4 linked regions of the Tamandua tetradactyla genome follow. The protein of the gene in region 3 purifies or fractionates together with the protein of the main gene of each other region. This does not show direct contact. Links are inferred from orthologs where the notes say so. Each region holds a gene or a part of one and is shown on either strand. Other genes may lie near its edges.

What was found.
Region 1: the proteins of CLK3 (region 3) and TNPO3 purify together in Homo sapiens (affinity purification with mass spectrometry; 4 studies listed by BioGRID and IntAct, counting the BioPlex papers as one, with this or other methods). This does not show direct contact. The link is inferred for Tamandua tetradactyla from reciprocal best matches to the Homo sapiens genes CLK3 and TNPO3.
Region 2: the proteins of CLK3 (region 3) and GPATCH8 purify together in Homo sapiens (affinity purification with mass spectrometry; 3 studies listed by BioGRID and IntAct, counting the BioPlex papers as one, with this or other methods). This does not show direct contact. The link is inferred for Tamandua tetradactyla from reciprocal best matches to the Homo sapiens genes CLK3 and GPATCH8.
Region 4: the proteins of CLK3 (region 3) and PSME3IP1 purify together in Homo sapiens (affinity purification with mass spectrometry; 3 studies listed by BioGRID and IntAct, counting the BioPlex papers as one, with this or other methods). This does not show direct contact. The link is inferred for Tamandua tetradactyla from reciprocal best matches to the Homo sapiens genes CLK3 and PSME3IP1.

The regions. Positions count from the first base shown.
Region 1 is NC_135327.1:170,509,779-170,517,382, forward strand, and holds the start of TNPO3 (transportin-3), read right to left. Parts: upstream 3,002-7,604; 5' UTR 2,637-3,001; coding exon 2,517-2,636; intron 1-2,516. UniProt on the Homo sapiens protein: Importin, which transports target proteins into the nucleus. Specifically mediates the nuclear import of splicing factor serine/arginine (SR) proteins, such as RBM4, SFRS1 and SFRS2, by recognizing phosphorylated SR domains.
Region 2 is NC_135332.1:22,913,048-22,919,901, reverse strand, and holds the start of GPATCH8 (G patch domain-containing protein 8), read right to left. Parts: upstream 3,004-6,854; 5' UTR 2,787-3,003; coding exon 2,742-2,786; intron 1-2,741.
Region 3 is NC_135338.1:67,430,614-67,438,161, reverse strand, and holds the start of CLK3 (dual specificity protein kinase CLK3), read left to right. Parts: upstream 1-4,542; 5' UTR 4,543-4,885; intron 4,886-4,891; exon of another isoform or gene 4,892-4,929; intron 4,930-7,548. UniProt on the Homo sapiens protein: Dual specificity kinase acting on both serine/threonine and tyrosine-containing substrates. Phosphorylates serine- and arginine-rich (SR) proteins of the spliceosomal complex.
Region 4 is NC_135342.1:50,863,295-50,870,785, forward strand, and holds the start of PSME3IP1 (PSME3-interacting protein), read right to left. Parts: upstream 3,015-7,491; 5' UTR 2,959-3,014; coding exon 2,940-2,958; intron 2,782-2,939; exon of another isoform or gene 2,677-2,781; intron 2,196-2,676; coding exon 2,058-2,195; intron 1,476-2,057; coding exon 1,377-1,475; intron 981-1,376; coding exon 858-980; intron 1-857. UniProt on the Homo sapiens protein: Promotes the association of the proteasome activator complex subunit PSME3 with the 20S proteasome and regulates its activity.

The sequences.
Region 1 (7,604 bases), on a different chromosome or scaffold from region 3:
GAGCTGATTTTAAAGAGCTGAGCATTTTTTTTTTTTTTTTTTTTAAAGGAAAGACAGAGAGAAGGAAGGAAGGATAGAAGGAAGGAAGGAAGGAAGAAAGGGAAACATTTTTAAACATTTTCTTGTTTTATTGTATTCTGTTTCTCCGTTTTTGTTACATGGGCTGGGGCCGGGAATCGAACCGAGGTCCTTCGGCATAGCAGGCAAGCACTTTGCCCGCTGAGCCACCGCGGCCCACCCAGAGCTGAGCATTTTAAGTACCAGTTATGAGTTTTAAAAAAAGGGGAGGAGGAGGATTAAAAAAAAAATTCTTGGGAGCATAAAATGCAAACATAAGAAAAGTAGTTTGTCGGTTTGTATCAGCCGCTTCAGTTTCCAAGATACTTTGCAAACACAAACTCACAAAGAAATAAAGGACAGCAAAGTAGAGTGTAAAAATCAGGGAGAGGAATCATAAGATACCTGAAACAACTAATATAATAGGTTATAATTAGAGGTAATAAAGGACTTTTCTCAAATGCCTTAGTGGATGCTCACAATATTTCTATGGAATAATCAAGGAAGCTATTATACGCATTTTACCAATGAAGAACCTGAAAGTCAGAGAAGTGAAAAGGCCAGAAAACCACTATGCAGCAAAATGAGATTTTCTGAAACCAGAATTGATATTTTTTAACTTACACTGTATCACACCCCAAAACAAGGGGAAATTCATATGCATAAGAATCTGGAAACCTGAGAAGTTTCGAGAATAACAGACTCAAACTAATTTAGGCGAGGATTCAGAAGAGACAGTCCTTCCTGCTTCAGCCTGTGAGCCTCTCCTATGGAGTTCATCCAGACCCTTCAAGTGAGTTGTCAGCTTCACAGCCTGCTCTGCGGATTTTGGACTCTTCAATTCCCACGGTTGTCCAGCCAGCCTCTCCTGAGAGTTTGCTGAGAAACTTCATCAGAGCTACTAGCTTGTGGCCTGCCCTACAGACCTTGGACTCTACATCCCCATGACTGAAGTGGTAAGAGATCTCTTAGAGTGTAACCAGGTATGCTATTATCCAGCATGTCCTAAAGAAGGGGAAGAATGGTTGGCCTGAAAAAGAGACATGTAACCTGGAACACTGATGCCCTCCAAATGGAGTTCTAAGGAGGAGCTTTGATTACTACTGCCAAAGGTGAGCGCTTTATTGCACAAAGCAATTCAGCTATTGATATGCCCACATTACAAGAAAATGGCAGTAGAAGTCCCAGGAACCCTGAGCTATTCAATCAAGTGGTGACAAACATTTACCCAATATCAGTAAGTCAAGAAGACTACCATACTCTGCCCTCAGAGAATGGAAATGGAACTATCACTTATGGCAGCTGAATAATAATTTGGGCCACAACGCCGTGGAATGGACAATTGGGCTTGATGAGGCCTTTAAATCAAGAAGTGTGATGTGGAAAACCAAACCAAATGATAAAATCTTTAAAGACCTGTAACAAGTTATCAATGGATAATACATAGTACATAGCACAGCAAAATTGAGAAGGGAAAATGATTCTAGCCTACCTACTCATCTTTAAAGAGTACCATAAGATTGAATAGTTAATGCATGCATGTTTTTAATGCCTTCATCATTTTCAGGAAAATAATTATAAATACACATTATTAGAAAAAGGTCAAACCTCATTATTGTATGGAAGATACTGACAATAAAAATACTGACATCATATTCATTTCTATCCCAAATTTGCAGGGATATCCAGAGACTTCTTAGACATTTAATTTGTGTCAGATTCTAAATGGTGGAGTTTCTTGTTTCAAACATTTAGTTTCCCATAAGAACACTTTAACAGGTAACATTTGTGATTAGTAGCATATATCTTCTAAAATTTGTTTTATTATCAGATTAAAATTGGTGTTTTAAAGAGCTTATGTTCTTTCGGTTAAAATTAGTCCACACTAATGGTATTTTGGTTAAAAGAATTTCTTTTCCTTTGTGTTCAGGTGGTTTTTGGAAAATTTGCTTAATAGTTCAATATTAAAGTTGTATTTTACTAAAAAAAAAAGAGAGAGAATCGAGGAGAACAGTAAGGTGTGAGTAAGGTAACGATTGGGAAGGAACTGCCAGATGCAACACACGGGTAGGGAGAAGAGGCTGATAAAACATTCCTAAAGAAAAAGACGGAGATGGGATTGGGTTGAAGGAAGACAAAACGGGAAAGCAGGGCTTAAGAAACAGTAAGGTTAGAACTTAGAGAACCAGATCGATGTCACAAGCAAGAAGGATAGGACACACAAATCAGATTCTACGGGGTGAGAAAAGGGCCAGTTCGCGACCGACCGACCGACCGACCAGCTGCGATTAGCTTCCGAGAAGCAGCAATAAGTAGCTTCGCAGCCCCACCCCGCGGCAGCAGCTCCTCCCCAAAGAGGACCTCACCAGGCCAGTTGCCAGACAGCGGCTACCCCCTCGAGCCTAGAGCCCACTTCACCAATGCCCCGCGGCACAGAACGGCCTCTCTGGGCCCCTCACCGAACGCTGCAGCTCCCCAAGCCAAAAGGAGGCGCGCTCCTTTCCGCTGGGATCTGGGTCGTGGTAAAGCGCCTGCACTGCCTGATACACGAGCTGCAACGTCGGCTTTGTCCCTTCCATGGTGGAGGCAACAGTGGCGGCAGCGACGGCTGTGGCTTTTCTCCTGAGGCTTCTCCAGTAGCTCCGCCTTCGCGTTTCCTCACTGCCTCGGCCACGGCCGCTCCCTGACTGGCGCCATCTCCTCCTCTTTGGCCGTTACCAGGGCAGAGGGGTTCCCAATGGAAAGTGACCCCTCGGAAACAGCAGTGAGACCGTATTCAGGTTCCTGCCCTTTTTTCCCCGATTCTCCCACTAGGCTCCAAATTTCTGAGTCCGGACGCTGATGCCCCACTCCTCACCCGCTAGCTTTCCCTCAGAAATCTATCGCCGCCTGACAAAAACCTCGGAGTGTTCCTAAACCGCGTTTACCCGGACCGGAAGCGGCGACACCTATACCTTTGGCACACTTCCGCCTTGTGCACTGCGAACGGACTCCTTCCCGACACGCCTCCTCCGTGTCTCCCCGCCTCCTTCCGGAAGTGACCCTGCCGGTTCAAGAACGCAAGCAAGGGTTTGGTTTTAGTGTTCTTCGTTTTTTTTCTCCGATTCGAGGTTTGGGACCGATGTGCACCCCGTCCCTTAACCGCTCTCCTCTCCTTGGTGATGAATCCGAGCTCTTTCTCTTCCCTCATCAGGAAATCCTTCCTGGCCTGTTGCATAAGGCGCGTCAATTCAACCCTCCCCAGTGTCCATTGTACTGGAAACGGAAACATGGCTTAGTACAGATTCGTGCGTTGTCTCTATTTTTAATCAAATAATTTTTTTCAAATTTGAAATAGATGCCACATTGAAATAAATGCAAAATATCTAGAATCCCTGTTTCGCTCCCCTTTCCCACTTAAGTCTTTACACCCAAAGGGGCCTTTCATTTTACTACTCAGGACGCTATGAACTCCTGAGCACTTATTTGCATACATCTTTAGGATCATTTCCATAGTGAATTGTAGTTTTGTGCATACCTTTCCGAATCAGTGGTCTAAAAGGGGGGAAAGATAAGGTATCAGTGGCTAAGAGAGTTCAAATGAGTGAAGAGGCTATTCTGGAGGCTACTCTTAGGCAAGCTTCAGCTAGATATGGCTAATTGCTACAATTTGCCAAACCCCAGCCAACATCATTCCTGTTAACTCTGAAGAACGGCCAGGGCTCTATCTGAGCTCTTACAAAAGTTGATGCACTAAGTTTACTTTTCAGAAACCTAAAACCTTCAGATACTTCCTGTGCCAGTTAAGTCCTGAAACCCAGAGATGCCAGTCTCTCCAAGAACATCAACTAGTTCCATCCCCCATCCCATGTTGTCCACACCCTTTTCAACATGTAATGTTACAATGGGCATAATTCAAATATCCCTAAAGATTGGGAGAAGGATCAAAGGAGAAGGAGGAGTTATAACACGGAAGTTAGGGTTTAACAAATGGGTAGGGCTACTGAATCATTGTGTTGATATTTTGTTTTTGTTGTTGTTTTTTTTTTTTTTTTTGCATGGGCAGGCTTGGGAAATCAAAACCAGGGTCTTCAGCATGGCAGGCAAGAACTCTGCCTGCTGAGCCACCATGGCCCACCCTTAATATTTCTTTTTAGTCTCCAGTGTCTTGGAGCAGCTAGAAGGAAAGTCCTGAAATTGTGGAACTGTAACCCATACCAAACGTTGAAATCTGCTCTATAACTACTTGTTAAAATTTATTTTGAAATCTAATGCTTTTTAATATATATGTTATATTTCACAATAAAAATGTTTTAAAAATTCAGTGGTCTAACTTTCTTTGCAGAAATGGAAAAGCTAGACATCATATTCATAGGGAAAAATAAGCAGCCCAGAATCAACAGAACTATCTTGAAAGAAGAACAAGGTTGGAGGACTCACATTTCCTTATTTTAAAACTTATTACAAACAACTATTACTAAACAGCTTTGTACTAGCACAAGGACAGGCATATAGACCAATAGAATTTGAGGGTTCAGAAATAAACTCTCACACCTTTGGCCAACTACTCTTTAACAAAGATGTTATGCCCACTCACTGAACATTACATAATGTTTCTTCAACAAATAGTGCTGCGACAACTGGACAGCAATTTGCAAAAGAATGAAGATGGACCTCTAGTTCACACCATATACAAAATTCAATTAAAAATCAATCAAAAACCTAAATGTAAGAACTAAAACTGTAAAACTCCTAAAAAAAACACATAGGGAAACCTTCAAGACCTTGTATTCAGTGGTGACTTCTTAGGCTTTATACCAAAGGCATGAGCAAAACAGGAAAAAATAAATGGGACTTTTATCAAAATTAAAAACTTTTGTGCATCATAGGATACCATCAAGAAAATAAAAAGACAACCCTGAAAATACTTGCAAATCACACCTGATAAGAGTTTTGTATCTAAAATATATTTTTTAAAAAACTCTTACAACTCAATAAAAATAAGGCAAGTCATTTTTTAAAATGGTAAATGCTTAAATAGATACTTCTGTAAAAAAAGATACACAAATGGCTAGTGATACACGAAAAGATGTTCAACATTATTAGTCATTAGGAAATGCAAATTAATATTACCAGATACTACTTTACACCTACTAGTATGGATAAACTTAAAAGACAGAAAATAACAAGTGTTGTCAAAGATGTGGAGAAATTGGAGCTCTCATAGTTTGCTGATGGTATTGTAAAATGGTGCAGCCTCTTTGGAAAACAGTCTGCTAGTTCTGCAAACAATTAAAGTTACCATATGTCGAGGACTTCTGGAGAAGATGGCGACTTAGTAAGACGCGCAGGTCTTAGTTCCTCCTCCAGAACAGCTACTAGAGAAGTTGAAACGATTCAGAACAGCTCCCGGAGCCACAACACAGACCAAGAAGACAGCGTACCCCATTCTGGAATGGCTGACTGGGTGGAAGCACACGCTCCGGTGAGATCGCCGAGGGGCGCGGGCTTCCCCGGGCCGGGGCGGCAGGCAGCCGGGGTCCCTCCCTCCCTCCTTCCCGGGCTGGCTGGGAGAATTGGACAGGTGGTCCCCTCAAGCCGCGGCGGCTGGCACCACCCCCACGCGCGGCCCCTGGACCAGCTGGGAGAATTGGATCGGAGATCCCCAAGCCGCGGAGAACAGCGAACGGGGTCCCTTCCAAACACGTGGCTTCCCGGTCCGGCTGGGAATGGTAGATAGACACTTCCCCAAGCCGCAGCGGCTGGCGCCCCCCCGCCACACTTGGCGCCCCAGACCAGCTGGGAAATTTGGACAGGTGTTCCCCCAAACCGCGGAGGCCGGTGACCCTCCCCGCGTGCGGACCCCCGGGTCGGCTGGAGATTCGGATTGGCACTTCCCCAAGCCACTTCGGCTGGTGACCCCCCCCATATAGAGAGTTTTCCAAAGTTAAAGGAGCCACAGCATCTTTTACTGGTGGGACTCGCAGACAGATGAGCGCCACGAGTGCCACCTACTGGGCAGGATAAGAAACACAGAGCCTAGAGATTTCAAAGAAAAATCTTTCAACGTGCGGGGTCTTACACCCAAGGAAATCTGATTAAATGCCCAGACGCCAGCAGAAGATAACGAATCATGCTCAGAAAATTGAAAATATGGCCCAGTAAAGGAACAAACCAATAGTTCAAATGAGATACAGGAGCTGAGACAACTAATGCTGAATATATGAACAGAAATGGAAAACCACTTCAAAAACCAAATCGATAAATTGAGGGAGGACATGAAGAACACATGGGCTGAACAAAAAGAAGAAATAGAAAAACTGAAAAAACAAATCACAGAACTTATGGGAATGAAGGACAAAGTAGAAAAGCTGGAAAAAACAATAGATACCTACAATGGTAGATTTAAAGACACAGAAGCTAGAATTAGTGAATTGGAGGATGGAACATCTGAATTCCAAAAAGAAACAGAAACTATAGGGAAAAGAATGGAAAAACTTGAGCAGGGGATCAGGGAACTGAATGACAATATGAAGCGCACAAATATACGTGTTGTGGGTGTCCCAGAAGGAGAAGAGAAGGGAAAAGGAGGAGAAAAACTAATGGAAGAAATTATCACTGAAAATTTCCCAACTCTTATGAAAGACCTAAAATTACAGATCCAAGAAGTGCAGCACACCCCAAAGAGAATAGACCCAAATAGGCATTCTCCAAGACACTTACTAGTTAGAATGTCAGAGGTCAAAGAGAAAGAGAGGATCTTGAAAGCAGCAAGAGAAAAACAATCCATCACATACAAGGGAAACCCAATAAGACTATGTGTAGATTTCTCAGCAGAAACCATGGAAGCTAGAAGACAGTGGGATGATATATTTAAATTACTAAAAGAGAAAAACTGAAACCAAGACTCCTATATCCAGCAATATTGTCCTTCAAAAATGAGGGAGAAATTAAAACATTCTCAGACAAAAAGTCACTGAGAGAATTTGTGACCAAGAGACCAGTTCTGCAAGAAATACTAAAGGGAGCACTAGAGTCAGATACGAAAAGACAGAAGAGAGAGGTATGGAGAAGAGTGTAGAAAGAAGGAAAGTCAGATATGATATATATAATACAAAAGGCAAAATGGTAGAGGAAAATATTATCCAAACAGTAATAACACTAAATGTTAATGGAATTGAATTCCCCAATCAAAAGACATAGACTGACAGAATGGATTAAAAAACAGGATCCTTCCATATGCTGTCTACAGGAAACACATCTTAGACCCAAAGATAAACATAGGTTGAAAGTGAAAGGTTAGGAAAAGATATATCATGCAAATAACAACCAGAAAAGAGCAGGAGTAGCTATACTAATATCCAACAAATTAGACTTCAAATGTAAAACAGTTAAAAGAGACAAAGAAGGACACTATCTGCTAATAAAAGAAACAAATTAAACAAGAAGACATAACAATCATAAATATTTAGGCACCGAACCAGAATGCCCTAAAATATGTGAGGAATACACTGCAAACACTGAAAAGGGAAATAGACACATATACCATAATAGTTGGAGACTTCAAT
Region 2 (6,854 bases), on a different chromosome or scaffold from region 3:
ACATAAAATATATAATTGTCAACAGAGATAATACAGCAATTGTCAACAGAGAGTCTTTAGCTTATACCATGCTAGAGTATAACCAGATTGTGCCGTTTAACAGCTGTGTGTACTTGGCCAAGTTACTTAACTCTCTGAGTTACTCCATCTAAAAATGGGAGTAATAACAACACCTTTCTCCTAGGGGTATTGAAAAGATTATGAGATAATACACATAAAGCCTGTAGAACAGTGCCTGTTTATTATTATAATTATCAAAAAAATTTTTACGTATGTCCATAACAATTACTCCATTAATAAATGCTTCAAGCAGCATACAGGATTCTAGCTATATTATACAAAAATACCTCTGAAATCAACTTTAGGTGTTATTTCACAAAATCTAATCAATGAGCCCACCTCTCTGGCACATGAGACAATACTCAAAACCTCTAGCATTTGCACGTGATAGTAAATGGGCAAAGAATGAAACCCTAAAATTCTAAATTATCTTCCCAAAGTAAGAGTCATTTAGAACTTACCAGAGAAGACGGTATAGGGAAATTTCCAGTGCTGTAAGATCTGTTTAAAACAACAAGATCTAACCACTGTTTGGAAACGAACTTTGGATTTGTTTCCGAGTCTATTATCACAAACAAAATAGCCACAATAGTCAGTAGCTTCACCTTGTTTACCACTTAAAAACTTAAAAGAAAGTCACATTTAATTTTGAATAACCTGAACTTGAAAATGTTTCAAATACACTATATGCAGATATGTCCTATTACATCACATTCTCCTCTCCAAGAACTGTAAATAAAGGCACATCATTTGTGAAAGTCAATCTATATTCCTCAGGAAAAAAAAACACCACTTTAAGTATTTTTAAATGAATGTTTTTATAAGTGTTAGCACAATAACTTATAAAAGTTTTAATATCTCATAACTGTCTAAATGATTTCCATTCCCAATACCCAATTTATCCATAATGGCAGGACGTCTGAATAAAAAACATTTTTCCAACTGATCAACATGACATAAACCCAACTAAAGCATCAGCACCAGAGGATCATCTTACCAAGAAATTGGGTATTGTAAAGCTAGAAGCTAATCTTTCCCATTTCCCAGGAGATAGCATTCATATTTTGCTATTCAGTTTTCAAAAGCTTCTCTCAAGGCCCTGCTAATCCTGTGTGTATGTATGTTTTGTTCTGTTTTGAAGCCTGCTGGAATCCTGTGGTTGACAGCCATTTTTCCTCAAAATTTAATTGCCCACATTACCTATTTTCAATTTTATTAGGTCACCTTGAAATTCTCTCCTCTAATAAGCACTTGGGTTATCAATCTGTCTCTTTAAAAATTACCAATAAAGTCCACACCTTGCAGTCTAATGCTTTACCGTACTTGCTAAAAATAACCTTTTTCAGGCATCAGAACTGCTTCAAACTAAGCTGGACCTGCATTATACCCTTTAAACACCTGGAGACCCTGTATTTTCTGCAGCTATTCAACAGGCACATGATCATAAAGCTTTTCAACAGCCCCCAGATCCCTTATTGCCGCTAAACTTCACATCTATGTACTAGACAGTTAACAGTATATTAGTTTAAAACTGCTAGACTGCTTTACCTGTCTATGTACTAATGCAATCATCTCAGGAAATTCAAATCCCTCAAACTGCCTTTTGAAACACGTGTAGCATATTCCCATGTTGCTTTGAGGAAGATCTGCAGTGGAATTAAAAACTTGAGTTCTGATGTTCATCCCCTGACCCAAATTGTTGTTGCCAGGATATGCAGCAGTAATGCAGTTGTTTCTTTGAGACCCTGAGGACATATTTTATCCCAGAAGTACCCAATTTCTCTAAATCTCTTTTAGTCTCCCAGATTTCCACGGTAACGATGCTCTGTAACAGCAAGGTATTTTAAACAGCCAAAGGATGAATTATTCTAGTTTGGCTAGAATTTTTTCCTCAACAATTTTTGCAAGGACGTTTCTCCATACCAATATCCGCAACTGAAGAAAGAAAAATCAAGCTTTTGGTACTAGTTATTAAAAGCTTGGAAAGCCCACTATCATAATGCTTATTACAAATCTTTTTTCAAGGTAGGATTTTCACTTGATCGAGTTTACATGGGCTGTAGTCCTATAACTTACTGTTTTTCAAACCCAATTAACAGCCTAATAACAACAGCAACATTTATGCCCGGGGAAATCTCAATGCTTGACTAAGAACGCTTTGATAACCAAGACACTCTTTTCGGGTGCGGAATGGAAAAATAAGGCTATAAAATGGATTTATTTATTACAGTGAGAGAGGAGCGGAGAAGCACCCCCAAGAAGATCCGTGTGAGCAAAATCCAAGGGTTTGGGAGCCCAGGCCTCAGTAGCACTCGCCGCAAACCTTCTCAACCCTCTTTTCCCCTACGAGTCAGCCCTGCGACCCCACAGACTTGGCAAACTGGAGAGAAACACAGCCCTTCACCCAGCTCGCAAGGCTGGAGTTCCAAAACTCGAAGCCCAAAAAGGCCCAAGCCGCAGAGCTGGCGGCCTGAGTTTTAAGAGGTAAGAGAATGCACGGAGATGAGATGCGGCCTCGCCTCAAGCTGGGAGGCCCCTTGAGGAATCGGAGGCGGGAGGAGAACGAGTCGGTTCAGAGGCCGGAGCAGAGCCTGGAAAGAAAGAGATCTGGGAGCCGGGGATGAAGGAGGTTCCGGGCTCGGCCGCGTCTTCCCCGGCTCCTCGGCGGCGCCCGTGTTTACCTGAAAGTCTCGGTCTTCGTTGAAGCGGGAGAAGCGGTCCGCCATTTTGCCGCCTTCACTCCTCTCAGGACGACACTCTCCGGTTCGCTCCTTTCCTCACGGCAACACCGCCCCCTCCGCTCTCCTCCCCAGTTCCCCGCCTCCTCCTACGCCCACCGGGCGCGCGCAAGCAAGGGAGAGGGGAGGGAACGAGAACGCGCGTCCTGACGGGAGACCCGCCGGCGCAGGCGCCTTCAAGCTGCGCAGGCGCCTTCAAGCTCCGCAGGCGGTACCCTCCCTCAAGTCCCTGCTGCGTGCACGACCCAGAGCGAGCTCGGCGGATGCGCGTGCGTACTCGCGCTCGAGGCTACTAAAGCTTCCGGAGGGAAAGGTCAGAGGTGCGGATGGGCTTGGCTGTTTTCCACCTGCCTGTCTGTCCGGTGTGAAATCTTCTTTTAGCCATCTGTGTATGCGAGGTCCACCCTCTACTTTATTGTCAGCAGCATGAAGTAGTGGATGCAAGCGCAGGCTTTAGAGCTAGACTTCAGTTTCGAATCCCAGTTCTCTCTGAGGGCTAAAACGGTGACAGTCTGTAAAGATCCCTTCTCTTTTAGGGCTTACATTCCAATGGGTGTAGTCAGATAACTAATAAAATCATTATATAATTTTAAATTTAATTTAATGAGTTGTTAAAAAAATGAAACTGAGTGCAGTGATGAGAGGGACAAACCTCTGAAACGACCTTTGTCCTGAGGGTCAGAAAGGAGCCCGCCTTGTAAGGTCTTGGGCAGAAGGAATATTTGACCCAAAAGTCCTATGACGGGAAAAAGCTTGGCATTTTCGAGCAACCCTTTGAGATAAGTATTATTTCTTAAAGGACTGAAGTTGATCCAAATCAATTAAAGTTCTCTGGGCCTCAGTATTAAGAAAAATGAATTTAATAATCTCTAGGCTTCTGCTCAGCACCGACTTTGTGTGATTAAATCAGATTTTCCCATCCTATGACCTTCCTGGTGACTCCACCTGGCCCTCCAACACCCTTAGCCAAAATACACAAAACACAGGTTTGGCAGGACATCGCTGCTTTTGAAAAAGGGTGGCTGACAGAAATCACACAATGGAAAAAATGGCCCTTACCCTTCCCTGAAAAAGTCAAATGGAATGTAAATGTTTGGAGGAAGAGTGTGTATCTTCTATTCCTTTGTTACCCTCTGCCCTACCCCAACTCCAGCCCAAACAATTATAAACAGTCAAAAGAGCTCCCCATCTAATGGGAGATAGAACACACAGAACGCTGTAAAGAAACTTGAGGATAAACGTCACAGATTGAATTATATAGACACACCACACATTTGCCTCCATTACCTCTCTAAACCCCACTAAAATGATATTTGAATAAAAGAATGAGAAGGGCATGAGTTCATATGTATAGAGATCAGAAGGGATAACAGCAGATGAGATGTCAACCAAGTTTTGGAAGCTAGAGAACATAGGAAATGGAAATGGCTCTAGTAAAGAAAGCTAAAAATAGAGGAAACCAAGAAACAAGCTGATTGACACTGAGAAGTACCAGAAAACCTTCACGTACCTCAGAAGGTGAGGGTATGGATGAGGCTGAAAACAAGAGGATTGGTTGCAAGGCATTTTACAGAGCAGTTAAAACCTATATCTCCTTCTCCCCCCAGGAGCAAACTGGAAGTTTACTCTCTAGAAGGGCTGAAACAGAGACTCTGGACTTTGACATGTCTGGCACAGCTGAGGGAGGGAGTGCCGTGCTTAAAAAATGGAAGGAGTAGGTGAAAGCCTACATTTTGATTAGAGAGACCTGGCACTTGGGTTTCTAATCCTGGCAAAAGACCAGAGGATCCCTCTATGGGGAAATTGACTGGCATAGGGGAAAAAAATGTACAAGTACTAGCAATGGTGAGGGAGGGATGCCTCCTATAAAAAAGAACATGTTCTTACCCATTTATCCCACAGAGAAGCTAATCAGTCAGCAAATCCCACTCACAGTTTCCACCCAGTTCTTTAATGCCTCCTTCCTATGATTACCAGGTATTTGAGGGAAACTTGTACCAGGAATGACACACACACACACACATACACACTAAAAGAAAAAAAAAAAGCAATTCAGAGAAACCAGAGATAATGAAAGGAGTAGAAGAAAAATACATCAAAAGAATCGTGATGATATCCACAGAGACATAAGATCACATCAGGGAGCAAAAGAAAAAGAAAATCCATTAATGAAGAAAGAATATTTGGAAATTAAAAATTCTTAAGTAGAAATGAAAAATGCAATACAAGGGTTAGAAAATAAATTAAGGAACTCTCCCAGGAAACAGAATAAAAGAACCCTAGTTCCAGCCACCTTTGCTTTCTCCTGAATTATTGCAGTAGCTACTAAATGTTCTCACTGATTCCATCCCTGCTCCCTATACTCTGCACAGCAGCTGTGGTGATCCTGTTAAAAAAAAAAAGTCAGTCGATTCATAAAAAGTCAGTCTCCTACTCCAACCCTCCAGTGATTTTCCATGTCATTCACATTATAAAGTCCACCTACCACTACCAATTTACCTCTTAGACTTCACGGTCTATTATGTCCCCCTGCTCCCCTCTTCCCTGGACACACTGACCTCCTGACTATATCTTAAACACACCAGGTCTGCTTCTGCCTTTGCCTGCCCCACCTTCGGCTTATGTGTATCCTCGTCTTCCTACTTGGATCATTCTTTCTCAGATAAGCACATGGCTGCTGCCCTCATCTTTCAGTCTTTATTCAAATGTTATTTTCTCAGTATGCTCTTTCCTGATCACCCTATTTAAAATTACTGAGCCACGTGTTCTGAATTCCCTAAACTCTTTCCCTGTTCTATTTTTCTCCACAGCACTTATCCCTTTCTAATATACTTTATAATTTACTTACTTATTCTGCTTATTATCTGTATTCCTTGACTAGAGGTCAGAGATTTCTCTCGGTTTTGCTTCCTTCTATGTCCTCAGTATCTACAACAATGATTGGCATATAGTATGCACTGCATAAAGATTTGAGTGGGTGAGATGGAAATAGGAGAGAACAGATAACAAAGTTGGAGGATAGATCCCACATCTGAACAGTAGGATTTCCAGAAAGAACAGGGGGGAAAAAGAGGATAATAAAGAAATAATGTGAACATTTCTTAGTGCTGAAGGACCTGAGTTTCCAAACTCAGATGGCCCAGCACAATGTATGAAAAATAACTCACTGCCAGGCACATTATTGTGAAATTTCATGAGATGTTTCACATGGGGCAAAGAGAAATTCTTAAAGAGTGGGGAAAAAAATAGGTTGCATATGAAAGATAAGGAAATGTAATGGTGTTGAATATCTCCAAAACACCAGAGACAAGTAATGCCCTGAAAATTCTAAGAGGGTGGTTCCCAACCTAGGTATCTACACCCAGGCAAACCGTAATCAACTGTGAGGGAGAAATATGAGTTGTTTTTTTTTCACCTGTATGCTCTAAAAAAGAAAAAAAATACTTGCCATGCACCATTTCTGTGGAAGTTACTGGAGGATGTTTTATGGCTAATGCAGAGAGTAAAACAAGAAAGACTTAAGATCCAGAAAGCAGGTAGACAACCTAAGAAAGAAACAAAGGGAATGCCCACAGTGTCATTTCAGAATAACAGCAATGGAGCAGGCCTAACAAACACCCAGTCCAGATGAGGACATAGGAGGACAGAGGGCCCTAGAAAGACTGTCAGCAAAACAAACAAACAAAAAATATGATAGCATACCTAGTGGGACTGAAAGTGAGGAGATTTACACTTCTCAAGAGTGGTGAAAATTCATGATAGGAATATAGAAAACTAGGCACATGGTGGGGAAAGGCAATTGATAAATTCAAGAGAGAAAAATTGCCAGGAAACAGTGTAATCATAGTAATCATACTATGTGACGTGGCTCGATTGTGAGTAAAATTTATAGTCACAACAATATAAACACTGAATATTCCTCCAACAAAAAATTTTTTATAGAAGCATATTGGGGGAATGTGGGAGGAGAAGTATATGTTTGGAGGAGAGGGGGGCACTTTAAGACAACTAAACCTTCCATGATAGGAACTAAGTAGATAATGTCTACATTTTAAA
Region 3 (7,548 bases):
CTCACTACCTTCCCCCTGTCTATGTGGGACATGACTCCCAGGGGTGTGGACCTTCCTGGCAACGTGGGACAGAAATCCTAGAATGAGCTGAGACTCAGCATCAAGGGATTCAGAAAAACACTAGAATGAGTTGAGATTTAGCATCAAGGGATTGAGAAAACCTTCTTGACCAAAAGGGGGAAGAGTGAAATGAGACAAAGTGTTAATGGCTGAGAGATTTCGAACAGAGTCAAGAGGTTATCCTGGAGGTTATTCTTATGCATTAAGTAGATATCACCTTGTTATTCAAGATGTAACGGAGAGGCTGGAGGGAACTGCCTGAAAATGTAGAGCTGTGTTCCAGTAGCCATGTTTCTTGATGATAATTGAGTAATGATATAGCTTTCACAATGTGACTGCGTGATTGTGAAAACCTTGTGTCTGATGCTCCTTTTATCTACCTTGTCAACAGATGAGCAGAACATATGGAATAAAAATAAATAATAGGGGGAACAAATGCTAAAATAAATTTAGTTTGAAATGCTAGTGATCAATGAAAGCAAGGGATAAGGGTATGGTAGGTATAATTTTTTTTTCCTTTTCTGTTTTTGTTTTATTTCTTTTTCTATTGTCTCTTTATTTTTTCTGAATTAATGCAAATGTTCTAAGAAAGGATGAATATGCAAATAAGTGACGATATTGTGAATTACTGATTATATATGTTAATGTTTTATTTGGTTTAATTTTTTTAAATAAATTTTTAAAAATGGAAAAAAAATCTGCTCTATAACTTCTTGTTAAAATGTACTTGGAAACTTATTGCCTTTCTGTACATATGCTATATTTCACAATAAAAAAGAAACATCAAAAAACAAAAAAACAAAAAAACAAACCTATCAGCCCAGAGAGGGCTCCCCGAGGCCCCAGCCAAGCCAGGAAGGTTCGGGGAAGGGGAGCCTCACTTTCTGCTCTTGAGCCAGCAGCCCACAACGGCCCAACCCAGGCCCAGCGTGTGCGCCCACCTCTGCAGCACCTGTGCCTGCTCCGCCAGGGCCTCCAAGGCCACCCACAGATGGCCACCCAGCTCAGCCTGCTGCCACCTGCTCTCCGCCAGCCACACCCGCAGGTCCTTCTCTAACCACCTCCAGATCCTCTTGGGGGCCCTGCTGGGGCACCTGCCAGGAAGAGGGCATTCAGGCTGCAGCCAGAGCCCCAGGGGGCTGCTGCGCCCACCTTCCTTCTACTCACCCGCATGCCTCAGTGGGGCTCAGTGGATGGACACCATCCAGTGACTGGAGGTGACAGGAGTGCCAGGGACAACAGGTGGGACTGGGCACCAGCTCCATGGGTTCTACCTTGGTGGGTTCGCAGAGCAGGGCAGGCCAGAGACACTGGAGCCGGGCAGCCCAGGGCTATCGCCCCTGAGGGCGAACAGGCACTCAGACCCTCCACCTCCACGCCCCCCAGCCCAGGATTCTCTCTGGTGAGTCAGGCTTCAGAAACTCCCCTGCCTCAACCCCACTAAATGGTTCTTTAATTTTCCGTGAGATGCGGGTGCTGCCAGCAGGTGAGGCCACTTGCTGAATAAACATGATGTCATTTAAACCTTGCAGGTAAAGACTCTGAGGACATGGGACAGAAGCTCAGAAGCGGGGTGTCAGTTGCAAGAATTTCACTGCAGAGCTGGGATTCCTATCCTAGCCTGTCTGGAACCAAAGCCCACACTTCCCCCATCCCTGCTGCCCCTCAATGCTCCCCTTCCAGGTGTGGGGTCTTGAAATGGCAGGGGTCAGGGAAACATTTGCAGCCAGCATAGTTTAGCCATGATGTGGTGGTCATAGGCCCCCAAATCAAGCCCCCTGCTCTGGTTACCTCTGTAGCTTCCACAGCTTCCGATGGGGGCCCTGACCCCATGTTCCAGTAGCTTGAGGTGGGAACTCATGGTACAGACAGGGGTTGCTAAGCTAGTCTTGCTCCACCCACTCCTTCTCACCCCACCCACTCCTTCTTTTGGGTTTGAGTCCTACCATGGTCCCCTCCCTTGTTCCTTTCCCCCAGGTACCAGGTACCCAGGGAAAAGTGAGCGTGTGGCAGGGTCCTGGAAAGCCATCTTCACTTGAGGGGAGGGGAACACTGAGCTGAGCTCCCCCCTGCCCAGCCCACTCCTCTCATTCCCAGGATGGCACCAGCAGCCCCCAGACCCTCTCCCATCTAGTCCCAACTCCATGCCCGCATTCCCACAGCCCCCTCCTGAGTTGTCTCTACTTCTCACCACCACACAGGCTTCTCCACAATGGACCATGAGGACTGGCCCCAGCCCTCACTGAGAACCTGCCCTCCACTTGGCTGGGTTCTAGAGGGGCTCTCCATCTGCTGGGGAGACGGACATGCATAGGTCAGTCTGTTGAGTTTGGAGACCAGCCCAAAGGGACAGCACAGCCACTGAGGGACCAAGGCAGAAGCACAAAGCTATGGGGGCAGAGGAAAGAGCCGCTTGACTCTCCCTTGGGGTTCCCAGCAAGGCTTTCAGGGGCAGTGACCCTAGGGTTGTGGCCTGAGGGTGAATTAACTACTCCCAGAGAAGGCAAAGATGGTTGCAGCAGAGGAGAGAGGACGAGCAGCACGAGAGGGGCTCAGAGCAGCTGGGGCTTGGATAGGGGAAGGAGGAGACCAAGAGGGGCAGGGCTGGGCCCTAGAGAGGAACTATAGGGCCAGGTTGGCTGAGGGAGAGGAACAGGGCAAGGGTATCTCCTGAGCATCCTTGAGTCCTCCTGCCAACCCAGACCCACACAGAAAAGAGATTGGGTCTGAGGGGCAGGTGGATATGAAGCAAGCCTCCTCTGAGGGTGGGCCACCCCCTGAGCTCCTAGCTGTGAGTTGCCAGGGTCTCTTGTCAGGTGCCAGGCAGTCAATGAGCACTGGAGAAATGACTTCGGTCTGTCAGGATGGGGTGGGGGTGTTACCCATATTGCACCTCAGAGTAAATCTTTTTCCAGGTACCTATCTGATACTCTGGCTGCAGAATTGGGAGAGGGAGAGCTGCTTAGTTACTGGGAGACAGAGTTCTCTATGGTGGGAGGCCGACTTACCCCTCCAAGCCTGGCGCCCAAGGCAAGGCTGTGGACAGGAATCTCCACCATTCTCAGCTGCTGGATAGACTGCGGCCTAGCTCCCAGGAGCCATGGAAACCACGGGCAACATTAGCTGGTGGGAGGAGACGCCACAGAGCCCTCCCACCTCGCCTGAGGGGATGAAAGCTGGCTGGTGTGGCCACTACAAGGACCCGGCGGCTGGGAAAGGCATCTCGGGGCACGCGGGAATTTCAAAATCCCGGCCCCTAAGCAGGACCCAAAGCAGCAGGACCTGGGACGCGACCGCAGGGCTCCGGGTCATTCACTGCACGCACACGAATCAGCAGCCAAACATCTATCCTGGGACAAAGGAATGCGGACGGGCGGGGCGGGGGGAGCATCTGATTGGAAGGGGACCCAGGGGCCGGTCTTGAAGCTGCCTTTGCGTCACAAGCATCCCATTTTTACTGAGTTTCCTGGGTTTATTTGGGGTGCGGGGGGTGCTGCCAACAGATCTGCGGTGTATTAAGCACTTCCTCTAGCCATGCTGTCAGACCCCAATTTAAGAGGAGCAAAAGGGGAAAAACTTTTAAGACCGCAGTTACGGAGAGGGAGGATCTCTTCTCACCGCGCCTGTCGGGCCAGGAAACCGCGCCCCCACGCCAGGAACTTGACCAGTCCTCTTGAAGGGGCGAGGCCAGCACTGCAAGGATGGGGAAACCCTTGCTACCCCGAGGCAGTGGGGGTGCCGAAGCTTGGAGGGATAGCCCGCCTCGCCCGCTCAGGCCGGGCGGGGCAGGGGGGTTCTAGCCCCCGCGTGGCGTCGGGGCAATTAAGAACCACTCCCTTCAGCTGGGCTGCTGGACGCCAGCGAGAGCCCGGAGGCGGAGACGCCACAGCCTGCCCAGACCCGGCGCGCACGCTCACAAACCGTGAGGTCTCCCGAAGGACCCCGACCTCGCTTTTCTCATCTGGAAAAGAGGGCTTCATAATCCCGCCACGCACAAAGCGATGGACGGTTATTGGGAAGCGTTATGGTGATCTCACACTCGCGGCCCCGCAAAAGGGGGATGTCGGAGAAATGGCCAGGTTTATAAACAGAGAAACAATGTTGGCCGGTAGTGAGACGCTCAGAAGGTGCTAAAAAGAAAAAGAACACCCCTTTCCATCCCAGACCCCGGCCCCTCCAAGAGGCCCACCACGTGGCCCTCGAGTATTTTCCCGGGAAATTGGTCTGCGTGCAGGTACGAACTTCGGCATGCCGACATTGTTTAAGGCTCCCACCCAGAGAATGATTCTCCCTTTGCTTCTTTTCCCTCACCCGGAGTCGCCATCGCATTCCTTAGCCTCTGCGCTTAGGCCTCCATCTTTCGCGCCCTCCTTTGCCCCGGGGCCAAGCCACGCCGACCGCCGCTCAGCTCGCCCAGTTTTCACTGTTCGCACAGGGAAGGGGTCGGCGGACACGCGCGAATCGGTGCGCGAGAGCAGGCGGAGCTCCCTCTGCGGAGACAGCACACCTGGAGGGCCTGAGAATTTACGTGCATCGCGACACGGTATGAGGCGGGGGGGGGGCCGCGACCGGAGACGCACCCCCGGCTCTCCCGGAACTAGTCTCTGCAGCGCTGCAGTCAGGACCCGGGAGGGGGAGGCGGGTCCCCCAGAGCCTTCGAGTCAAGGGCTAGAGCGGCCGAGTCACCGAGCCGGGTAGAGTCGCGGCTGGCGGCGGCTGCGTCACAAGAAGGGCGGGGCGACCACGGGCGGAGGCCGGAGCCGGAAGCGGAAGAGGCGCTCAGAGCGGGGAGTGGGGCCTAGCCGCAGCGGGAGCCTGGGAGACGGTGAGTGTGGGCCCCGGGCCGCCGCGGCGGCGGCTGCAGGGGCAGTGAGTAGGGCGGGGGGATGAATTGGGCAGGGCGAGCCCTGGGTGCGGGTCCCCGGTCTCCCTGTTGGGTCTCGGCCTACTCCTTTTCTTTCTCCTCCGCCTTCCTCAGGCCGCAGCCCCGACCTCTCACCCCTGACCCGCCGCCTCCCCCACCCCGGGGGGAGGTCGGTCACTGCGGACCTCGACCTCTCGAGAGCCCGAGGGGTCGGAGTCGGAGCCAGAGCCAGAGCGGCCTCTGAGGTCCCCTCTCCCAGCTTCTGCAGGGATCCAGTTTCGGCCCTGTGCCTGCCTGCGGAATGGGATCGGAGTCCGACCTAGGATAGCTGGAGGGGCCTTCAGACCCACCCTTTCCTGTTCTCCGATTCACAGACCCCTCCTCTTGCGGCCTGGAGTTTGATTGTGGCCCAGGCCAGCCTTCCCTGCTACCCCTGCGGTCCTCCCTCGGCGCCATTGCCGGCGGTTACAGGGGATGGGGCTATGAGATCCTTGGGACCTGGGGCGGCAGGAACAAATGCGAGCGAGGGCTGCAGGCGCCTCTCCGTGTTTTGTTGTGGTGGTGGATCCGCTCCAGCCCTTGGGGAGGGGCCAGGCCAAGCCGACCGTACAAATGCCCGGGGTGCTGCTCGGCCGAGGAGTCTTCTGTGCTTTAGTTCCGGGTGCGGGTCCCCCAGTGTGGACCTGGGGTGGGTATTGCCTGAGAGAGGCCCCTGTCGAGGCGGAATTGGCGGCCTTCCAGCTTTCCTCCTCCGTGCCCTTGAAAAGGAGGAGCGTTTCGCCCGGTGGTGGCGGCAGCTTGCGAGGTGGCAGGTTTGAGGTTGCAGTGGTAGGGCAGAGCCAGCCAAAAATAACCATGGGGCGTTGGGGTGGCTGGGATCCGGGAGGAGAGCCGCTGACCTGGCTGGCTGCTCTTCCTGTCAGCCCAGTTCTCTGGCCAGTAGCTGCAAATGAGAAGGCGACTAGTAGGCCTTTGTTCAGAGAACTGGCATCCTCTACCTGGTTTTCTTTAGCAATCCCGTTTTCACCGTGCAGAGCAGAGCCTCCTAAAGCCTAATTGTACCCCTTAGCCATAAGCAACCTGTTGGGGTCTCAAGAGAATCAGAGACAGTGGATAAAGAATGGGTCCTAGTGCCCTTACTGGGAGGATGAGGAGGGGGAGTTGGCTATTTCCAATATCTTACCTGCCTAGAATGTGTTAAAGGAGAGATGATTGCCCCTATCATTGCCTTGGTGTATGGTACATTATACCTCTCATACTGTCCTTTTATTTGCCAAGTTGGCTGGTAGATGTTGTTATCTCCATTTTCCAGGTATGGTAACTAAGGCTTAAAGTTACTTATATACGGTCATGAGGCCAGTAAGTGACAGCTCTGGGATTTAGTTCAAGGGTTTCTGCCTAGAGCTTTCTCTCCCCAAGTCCCTTAGAAGGGACTCACAGAATGTTTTAATGTTCCTAAGGCATTTAAACACAACCCAAAGTGTTAACCTAGAACTTTCTGCATTCTGCCAATAGTAAGTTGCCTGCAGTGCCTTTTGTGGTCCCAGACCTGTGCTAGGCCCTTGACTTATAAGAGAGCTGCATTCAATCCTTACAAAAGCTTTTGAGAGATTATCATCCCCATTTTGCAAGGGGAAGCTGAAGGTTAGAGCAGTTAAATAACTTGCCCAAAGGCACACAGCCAGAAGTGGCAGTACCAGGATTCAAACCGACACCTGAGTATGCTCTTTCCACTAATGTAAACATGTGTGTATATATGTATTTTCTAGGTGCCAGGAGGGAATTTTTGGCCTGGTATGGACTGGACCAAGTCTTCTGGTGCTTTGCCTGCCCAGTGAGGATAAGCAGGGTCACACTTGCCTTGTGGGAGGGCCTGGCATATCTTCCTGTCAGTTAGTGAGATGTGAAATGTTTTCATTCCATAGCCTGGGCAACTGCCTCCAGGTAATTGCAGGAAAAGAGTGAAATATTAGTCAGCTGATCATCAAAACAGGACAGGAATCTAAGCTCTTGGGGAGGTGCCAGTGAATTCACATAGTATTTTATCTCCGAAGATTAATGAAGCTGGGCCAGTATCACCTCATGGACTCCAGGTAGAGAGGGGCAGCGGTTGTCTTAGGATCACAGAGAAGCTCCAGGGGGTTTGTCAGATCTGCCTTGCTGCTGTTCCATGCTGTTTTCCTCCTGACAGATCCTTTTGTTGAAATGGGGCAAACTCAGTGGTTTTGGCCTAAAGTAATGCTCAAAGGTGAGCACAGGACTGAGCATGCCTGGAGGGTAGCTCTGGCCAAGTGAAGGGTTGGAAAGGAGGCTGGCCTCTGTCTCTGGCTTGGCCTTCCCATGGAGGCAAAGTCAGGATTTTGGGTGTGGGTGGGACAGAGAGCTCACATCACATAACTACCTTTCTCGGCTGGTGACTGATTCAGCCTGGTGTTCCCAGTGGTGGATATAAGTCGCTGCTGAATAGAGATAGTGGGGTGGAGCCCTTTTGGCCTGCCTCCCTATACAGACAAGCCTGCCAGACAATCAGCCGCTTGGATACTCCTGAGGTGGCCCAGGAGTGGATCCTAAAGCAAGGGCGCTAGATAAGGGGGCAGTAATGGAATGGTGGAGGCAAAGCGCTC
Region 4 (7,491 bases), on a different chromosome or scaffold from region 3:
GCAAGGAAAGGGGTTCAAAAAAATTAGTCTCAATTCCACCGTTTGTACACAAGGAAACTATGATTCATGAAGGTGATATAATTTTCCATCAACTCCTACTGTAATGTTGTACCAGAAAGCCACTAGCAGAACAGGGACTGGACGCCAGGTCATTCCCTACCAGTTCAGAATGGGTTTTGTGGCACCATGATGCCACCTTATTTCAATCACTGTCACCTTGATCTAAACCAAGTCCCTAGGAAATTTGTCCATGTTTTCTCCCACGTTACTCTTTAATGGAACCTATTATATCCTACCTGCAAGAAACTAACAATTAGCACATACACAGAATCCTCAGTTTTAAAGGTGAAACCTGTTCAATCATACTAGTGAGGCTATTTCACATATGTGAAAAATCCAAATAAGCTTCCTGACAAAGGAAAAAAATGGTAGGGTGTCTCTATTAACCTTTCCTTTCAGTCATTCATTCATTAATTTATTCAAACATTTATTGCCCCGTTCTATGCTGTACCTATGGGGTAGGTCTCATTAAGAACACAGGAGAGATACTAAACATTTCCTTTCAAAACTCCGAAACCAATTTTTCCCCTAGATGAGGTTTATTTCATCATTCATCTGTCTCAGGGTCTAAGTCCACAAGGTAAGAATACCCTGGCGCTGACTATCAGGATTTATGCCTTCAGTTAATCTTAAACGATATGGACTTCTTATTGCATGCAACATATCCCCCACAAATTGCAGCCATTTATTCAGAGACACAGGAGTATCAGTGTTGAAAGGGGCCTTAGAAATCACCAAGCAGACTCATTCCATGTATCTGTGACACTTCACAAATTTCTCTCAAAGTACAAAGGATATTCTGTATTCTTTCAGTTCTTTTAGTTCTTCTTCTCTTCGTTGCTTTTCTATTAGTTCCTGCTGCCGAGAAACCTCATCAAGGAAGTTGGTTTCATCTTCATCTAAGCCTCTTACCATGTTTTCTGAGGAAATAATTAAGCAAGGAACATTTAGAAGTCTAAAGGAAAAATATAGCCAAATAAGATTTTCCTTTTTTTAGTAATAAACAGAAGATCCATCAGGGAATTAGAAGAAAGAACTGGTAAACACCATGGCTTTTGGATAGATAAGATGGCATAAAACCAAGTCATTCTCATGATTATAAGATATTAGCATAGAATTAAAATGGGTATCTTGAGCTCTAAAAAAAAATATTTCAATGTGGTATAGAAGGCAGAAAGCTGTCTCCTTTCTATAGAATGAGCATCTGAAGACTAGACAAGACAATTCCATGGCTAGTTAGAAAAAGTATTGCATGAGGCAAAAGTGCATCAGAGGGGCCCTGCAGAGTCCTTTGGACTCTATTTTCTGAGGCTTACTGAATTTGAACTGCTCCTCATATTCCTGCTGCTTCCTGTCTTTCTGTTCCTGCAGTCTTTCATATAGAGATCGAGGGTCATAAACCTCTTCTGGACATTCTGAAAGGAAGAAGAGGGGAGAGAAAGAGAGAAGGAAAAAAAAAATACATACTTTAGAATTTCTGCATTATTTTGGGACCATGGGATTTTAAAGATAAAGTCCAGTCTTCTCTACAGAATTGGAAGATAAGGATAACACAAAAATAGCACAAAGTCTATAGCTTCCCTTTGGACCTCAGAGAAGGGCCAGGGTTCTCAAAGCCAACTATCAATGTTGATAGGGCCCACTGCCTGGAACCGTTAACTGGATGAGGGCCAGATAAAAGCCTCCACAGCAACAGCATTCTCCGTTGTTCAGACCCTGGATCCGACACACTGACAGTCCACACAGGTATCCACAATGTACACATGCATAGATGGATAACCAGCAGAATCCCCTGGAAGGCAGTACAGCAGAGTGGGAAGGACAAAGACATGAGTATTCTGGTTCCACTCTCAGCTGTGGAGGCCATCCACTGGTTTCTTCACCCCTCTGACCCTCAGTTCCTCATCTCTAAAGTGAGGACATCAATACTTACTTTCCACGTCTGTAGTGAGGTTTAAAGATCATTATATTGAATGCCAAACCATAAGCTTATATACCTTCTGGATCCTCAGGTTTTCGAACTTTCTCCCATTCTTCTTGCCTCCTTTTGCGCCGTTCATCTAGTTCTGCCTCCGTCACAAATCTCTTTTTGATAACAAGGTTACCATCATCCCCTCCATCCATAATGGGACAGTCTACAAACAAGAAAAAAATTTCAAGTGAGAACTGTAATTAAGATTCTAAAGAGGAGAGCTCTGGGAAGATGGTAGAATAGGACAGGTCGGGTTCACCCTGCTCCAAGGAACAGTTAGAGAAGGAACGAGAAAGTAACTGAAACTTTCAACCTAGCAACCTAGCAATCCCAGGGTGTAAGTGACCTAGGAGGGTCTTCTACACCACAAAGGGAGGCCCTGACTGCAAAAACTGAAGAACTGAGAAGCAGAGAACCAGAGAATGTCTGGTTGGTGCAAACAGCCTAATGCGAAAGTCCTCAGGAGTGCACAGACAGGGAGACAGGGACCAGGAAGGAAGCCAAGCTGTGTTCCTTGAACCTGTTACCCTCACCGGTGCAGTATGCGATCTGCAACTCACTCCACACCCCGTGTACCTGAACCCTATCATCTGCCCACCACTCGCATGCTCCAAGCATCCCTGCTCTGCCCCAGCCCAACCCACCTCCCCAGCACAAGTACAGTCTCTCCTGGCACTTTCCAAGAAACCACCTCTTCCTCCCTGGCCAATGCAGGCTGGTGCCAGCTCATAAAGGCTGTGGGCACTCACCTTCACACTCAGGCTACACCTGACCCTAGCCTATACAGTCACGCAACCCCACCCTGCCCCCCTGAGCTCTGTGCATGTGTACATCAATTTACAGCCGTCCCAGATCCACGCATATGCACGGCCACCAGTCACACCCCCAGCTTTAGGCAAGCGCTGACCTGCACAGCTGGGCCACATCCACTCCTAGTCCAAAAAGGCGCAACCCCAGTCCACTGCCCCTGAGCCCTGCGCATGTGCACACAAAGGCCCCACACCATGTAACAATACACACCAGGGCACCACTTCCCAGACCTATGCACAAACACAGCCATATCCTCGCTGCTTCTGGGAACCCACACATTCATACATTGACTTTTTGACCCCTGCACCCCAACCCCCTGCCCCACAAATGTGCACACTTGCGCCACTCTCCAGGCACAAGCGCCCTGCACCCACACCTGGCAGATGCTCACAGGCAAATCTGTGCTACATAGCCACCACAGATTGCACATGCGTATACATCTGCTCGAACCCTTCTACACCTGCATACCTGCGCCAGGGTACCACCCAACCAGTGCCACCACCACCACGTCCCACAACCCTGGTCCCACATCCACATCCAGGGTCCACTGGACCACTTCCTCTGCACAAGAACACACCCGCACCCTACTTCCCATGGTGCCCTGACCTCTGTGCCACCTACCATACCCTATACCCTGATATCCACGATCCCCACATGCCCACGCACCCACCATATCCTACCTACACACTAGCCCCCATACATCCATACACCCTCCCCATCCACCTCCCACTGCACTCTACTTATGTGTCCCCCATGCTGCACCCTGCTCCTGTGCTCCGAAGTCTGCCTGAGCTGCACCTGATACCATCAGCTCCTGCATTGCACCTCCACAACCCCATGACCCACACCCCATGCTCACAGGCACCAGTGTAGTATCCCTGCTCTGTGCCTATACCTGAGCTGCAACACATCACCGCACTGTTGTGCCCCACCCCAAGCCCCACATCCTGCTCCACATCCATCCCACAACACAAAGTTTTAGACTACTAAAGGAAATCAACTTACAAAGTAAACCTATCAAGATATTTACATGTCTCAAAGACAACAGAAAACCACTAAGCATATCATAATTTAAGCAGACATAACCCAGCCTAATGACTTAATTAAAACACCAGAAGAGACACAGACTTTGGAACAACTAATCAAAACATATTCAAGCAGCTCTACTAAACAAAATAAATAGGATGGCTAATGATACAAAGAGACTGAGAAGACACCAAAAGAGCTTAAAGAGGAATTTGAAAAAATAAATAGAAAAATAGCAGATCTCACAGAGATTAAAGATGCTGCAGACCAAATAAAAAATATACTAGAGGACAGGCAACGGTGGCTCAGTGGCAGAGTTCTCGCGTGCCATGCCAGAGACCTGGGTTCATTTCCTGGTGCCTGCCTATGTAAAAAAAAATTTTGTTTAATTTTTAAAATTTAAAAAAAAAGAAAATATATACTAGAGACACACAAAAGCAGATCCGAAGAGGCGGAAGAAAGAATAAGCAAACTAGAGGACAGGACAACAAATTTTGAACACTCAAAACAGCAAATGGCAAAAAAGATGGAAAATTTTTAATTGGATCTCAGAGAAATGATGGACACACAAATATAAGAATCACTGGTATCCCAGAAGAAGAAGACAAGACTAAAGGGCTAGAAAGATTAGTTGAGGATATAATGGGGGAAATTTCTTAACCCTTATAAAGGACATAAATAGGCAAGTCAAAGAAGCTCAATGAACTCCAAATACAATAAATCCAAATAGGCCTTCCCCAAGACACATACTAATCAGTCTGTCAAATGTTGAAGAGAAGTAGAAAATCCTGAAAGGGGCAAGAGAAAAACAATCTACTACATACAAGGGAAACCACATAAGACTGAGTTTAGACTCAACTGGCACTATGGAGGCAAGAAAGCAGTGGTATGATATATTTAACATACTGAAAGGGAAAGACTTCCAGCCAAGTATTCTATAACGAGCCAAATTGTCCTTCAAAACTGAGGGAGAGATTAAAATTTTCGGACAAACAAATTCTGAAAGAACCTGTCAACAAGAGACTGGCCCTACAAGAAATACTAAAGGGAGTTCTGCCAGTTGAAAAAAGACAAGAGAGGCGGGTCTGAATAACAGTTGCCACATTCAAATTTCATATGTTATAACACCCTGTGATTTGGGCTCAAGTTCCACTTGTACAGCTGCCTGCCTTCACGTATAAATGGGAATAGGGCATAGCGTTTAAGTCCCCAGTGCAGGAGAAAACGATCAGTTTATATCTGAAGAGACAAACTTGCTGTCATAGTGCCTCCTGAGAACCAAAACTCCTATATCATTTTAGCAGCCAAACCGCTCTGCTCAATATTCAAAGAACATGTTGAACAGTCACTGATAGCAAATGAGGTAAATGCAAATAAGAAAAGAAGAATCATCAGTAAAAAGCACCTCAAATCCTATCTCTGCAAAGAAAGGCAAAAAAAAAAAAACCCTGCTTTCTGAATATACCTGGACCACATGTCATTCTTAGTATATGGGTGTAAATTAATTGTATTTAAGTGGAAGATGAGCTTAAAAAATATGGACTAATGACTTAGTAATAAATTGGTCATAACCCTACTAGAGTGGTACAATATCACTTACAAGTTCCTTTCCACTTTTTATTTAGTGTATTGTGTGCTTCTGCTATGCTAATGCATCCCACTAATACTCAGCCTGGCACCTAACAGGTACTCAGTAAATGCTGATATGTGAATGAATATTTTAATTGACTTTTATTTATGAATCTTAAAAAAATCCATGTAAAAAATTAAGTTCTTTCAGGAAAGGGAGATTACATTCATTTTGGCATGTATAAAAGAGAATACTATAAAAAGTAAATGTTTGAAGAATGGAATATGGGTCTTTTTAAGGGTAGATTTAAAAACTTGAAAATTGGGCAGGCCACGGTGGCTCAGCAGGCAGAGTTCTCGTCTGCCATGCCAGTGACCCAGGTTTGTTTCCCGATGCCTGCCCATGCAAAAAAAACTTGAAAATGACATATCACTCCACTAGTTTAGAAAGATAAGCCAAAGATATTTTGGTGCTACTCACTCCTGGCAATCAGAAACAATTTTCTACTGAATTATATTATAGGTGCAAGTATGTAATACTTTGCAAAAATTTGGGAAAATAAAAGGGACTCCTCCATTAATGACAAAAACAAAAAACAAAAAACAGAGAGGGAGGTCTGGAGGAAGGAACAGAATTGAAGAGTACCAGTAAGGGTAACTCAAAGAATAAAAAGAGAAAGAAGTAAACAATCGAAACAAAGGGAATCCAGAATAAGGATGAAGGCCTTTAATCCCTGTATAGCTTAATGAAATGCTTGGATACATCCTAGAATATATTAAGTAGATAATCAAAAAATATTGACAAAGTCCCTTGAGGAATGGGAGAAAAAATATGGAACCATTAAACTTTACCACCAGGGAAACCCCTGATACTGTGTCAAACAATGGGGACACCCAAATCAATAGGCCAAGCCTTTGACCTTGAGGCTTACTTTTATGAAGTTTATGGATATAGCGGAGAAGCTTAGCCTACCTATAGGTATGCCTAAGAGTTATTTCTGGAGAACCTCTTTTGTTGCTCAGACGTGCCCCTCACTCACTCTAAGCCCAACCCTGTAAATGAAATCACTGCCCTCTCCCCTACATTGGACATGACATCCAGGGGTCAAAGTCTCCCTGGCAGCATAGGAGATGACTCCCAGGGATGAGTCCAGTCCTGGCGCCGTGGGATCAATTATTCCATTCTGACCAAAATGGGGAAAAGAAGTGTAAGAAATAAGGCATCAATGGCTGAGAGAGTTCAAATAGAGTTACGAGGCTACTCAGGACGTCACTATTACCGCAAGCTTCAGTTAGACATTGCTACCTATTATAACTTGCCAAACCCCAACCAAACACATTCCTGCCAAAAAAAAAAAGAACACCTAGGGCAATCTATAAGATTCTACAAAGATTCCATGCACAAGGGTAACTTTCCAGAAGCCTACAACCTCCAGATGGGTCCCTGGACTAGATAAGTCCTGAAACCTAGAGTGGCCAGCCTCACCAGAACATCAACGAGTTCAATCTTCCAACCCCATGTTATTGACAAACCCCTTCCTACATGAAAAAGGGAGAATGGGCATAGCCCAAAAACCCTTAAAGAACGGGATAGAAAAATCAAAGTTGATGGTGGACTTATACAGAGAAGGTAGGGTTTAATAAACGAGTATGATTGCTGAATCATTATATTGATATTTCTTTTAGTCTCCAGTATCTTAGACCAGCTAAAAGTAAAAAATCCAAAATTGTGGAATAGTAACCCATACCAAACTCTGAAATCTGTTCTACAACTAATTGTGATACCACGCTTTGAAATATATTGCTATTTTTTAAATTAAAAAAAAAAATCTAAAGACAAACTAGGAGATGCAGTTTTGTTTCACCCAGCAACAGGCTGCCTCCAACCCTGAATGGAAGAAATCCTCAAACAGTTTAATTTATACATTGTTAATGAGAGCACATCATTATATACATATTTTTTTCACATGGGCAGGCACCAGGAATCGAACCCGGGTCTCCGGCATGGTAGGTGAGAACTCTGCCTGCTGAGCCATGGTTGCCTGCCCATATCA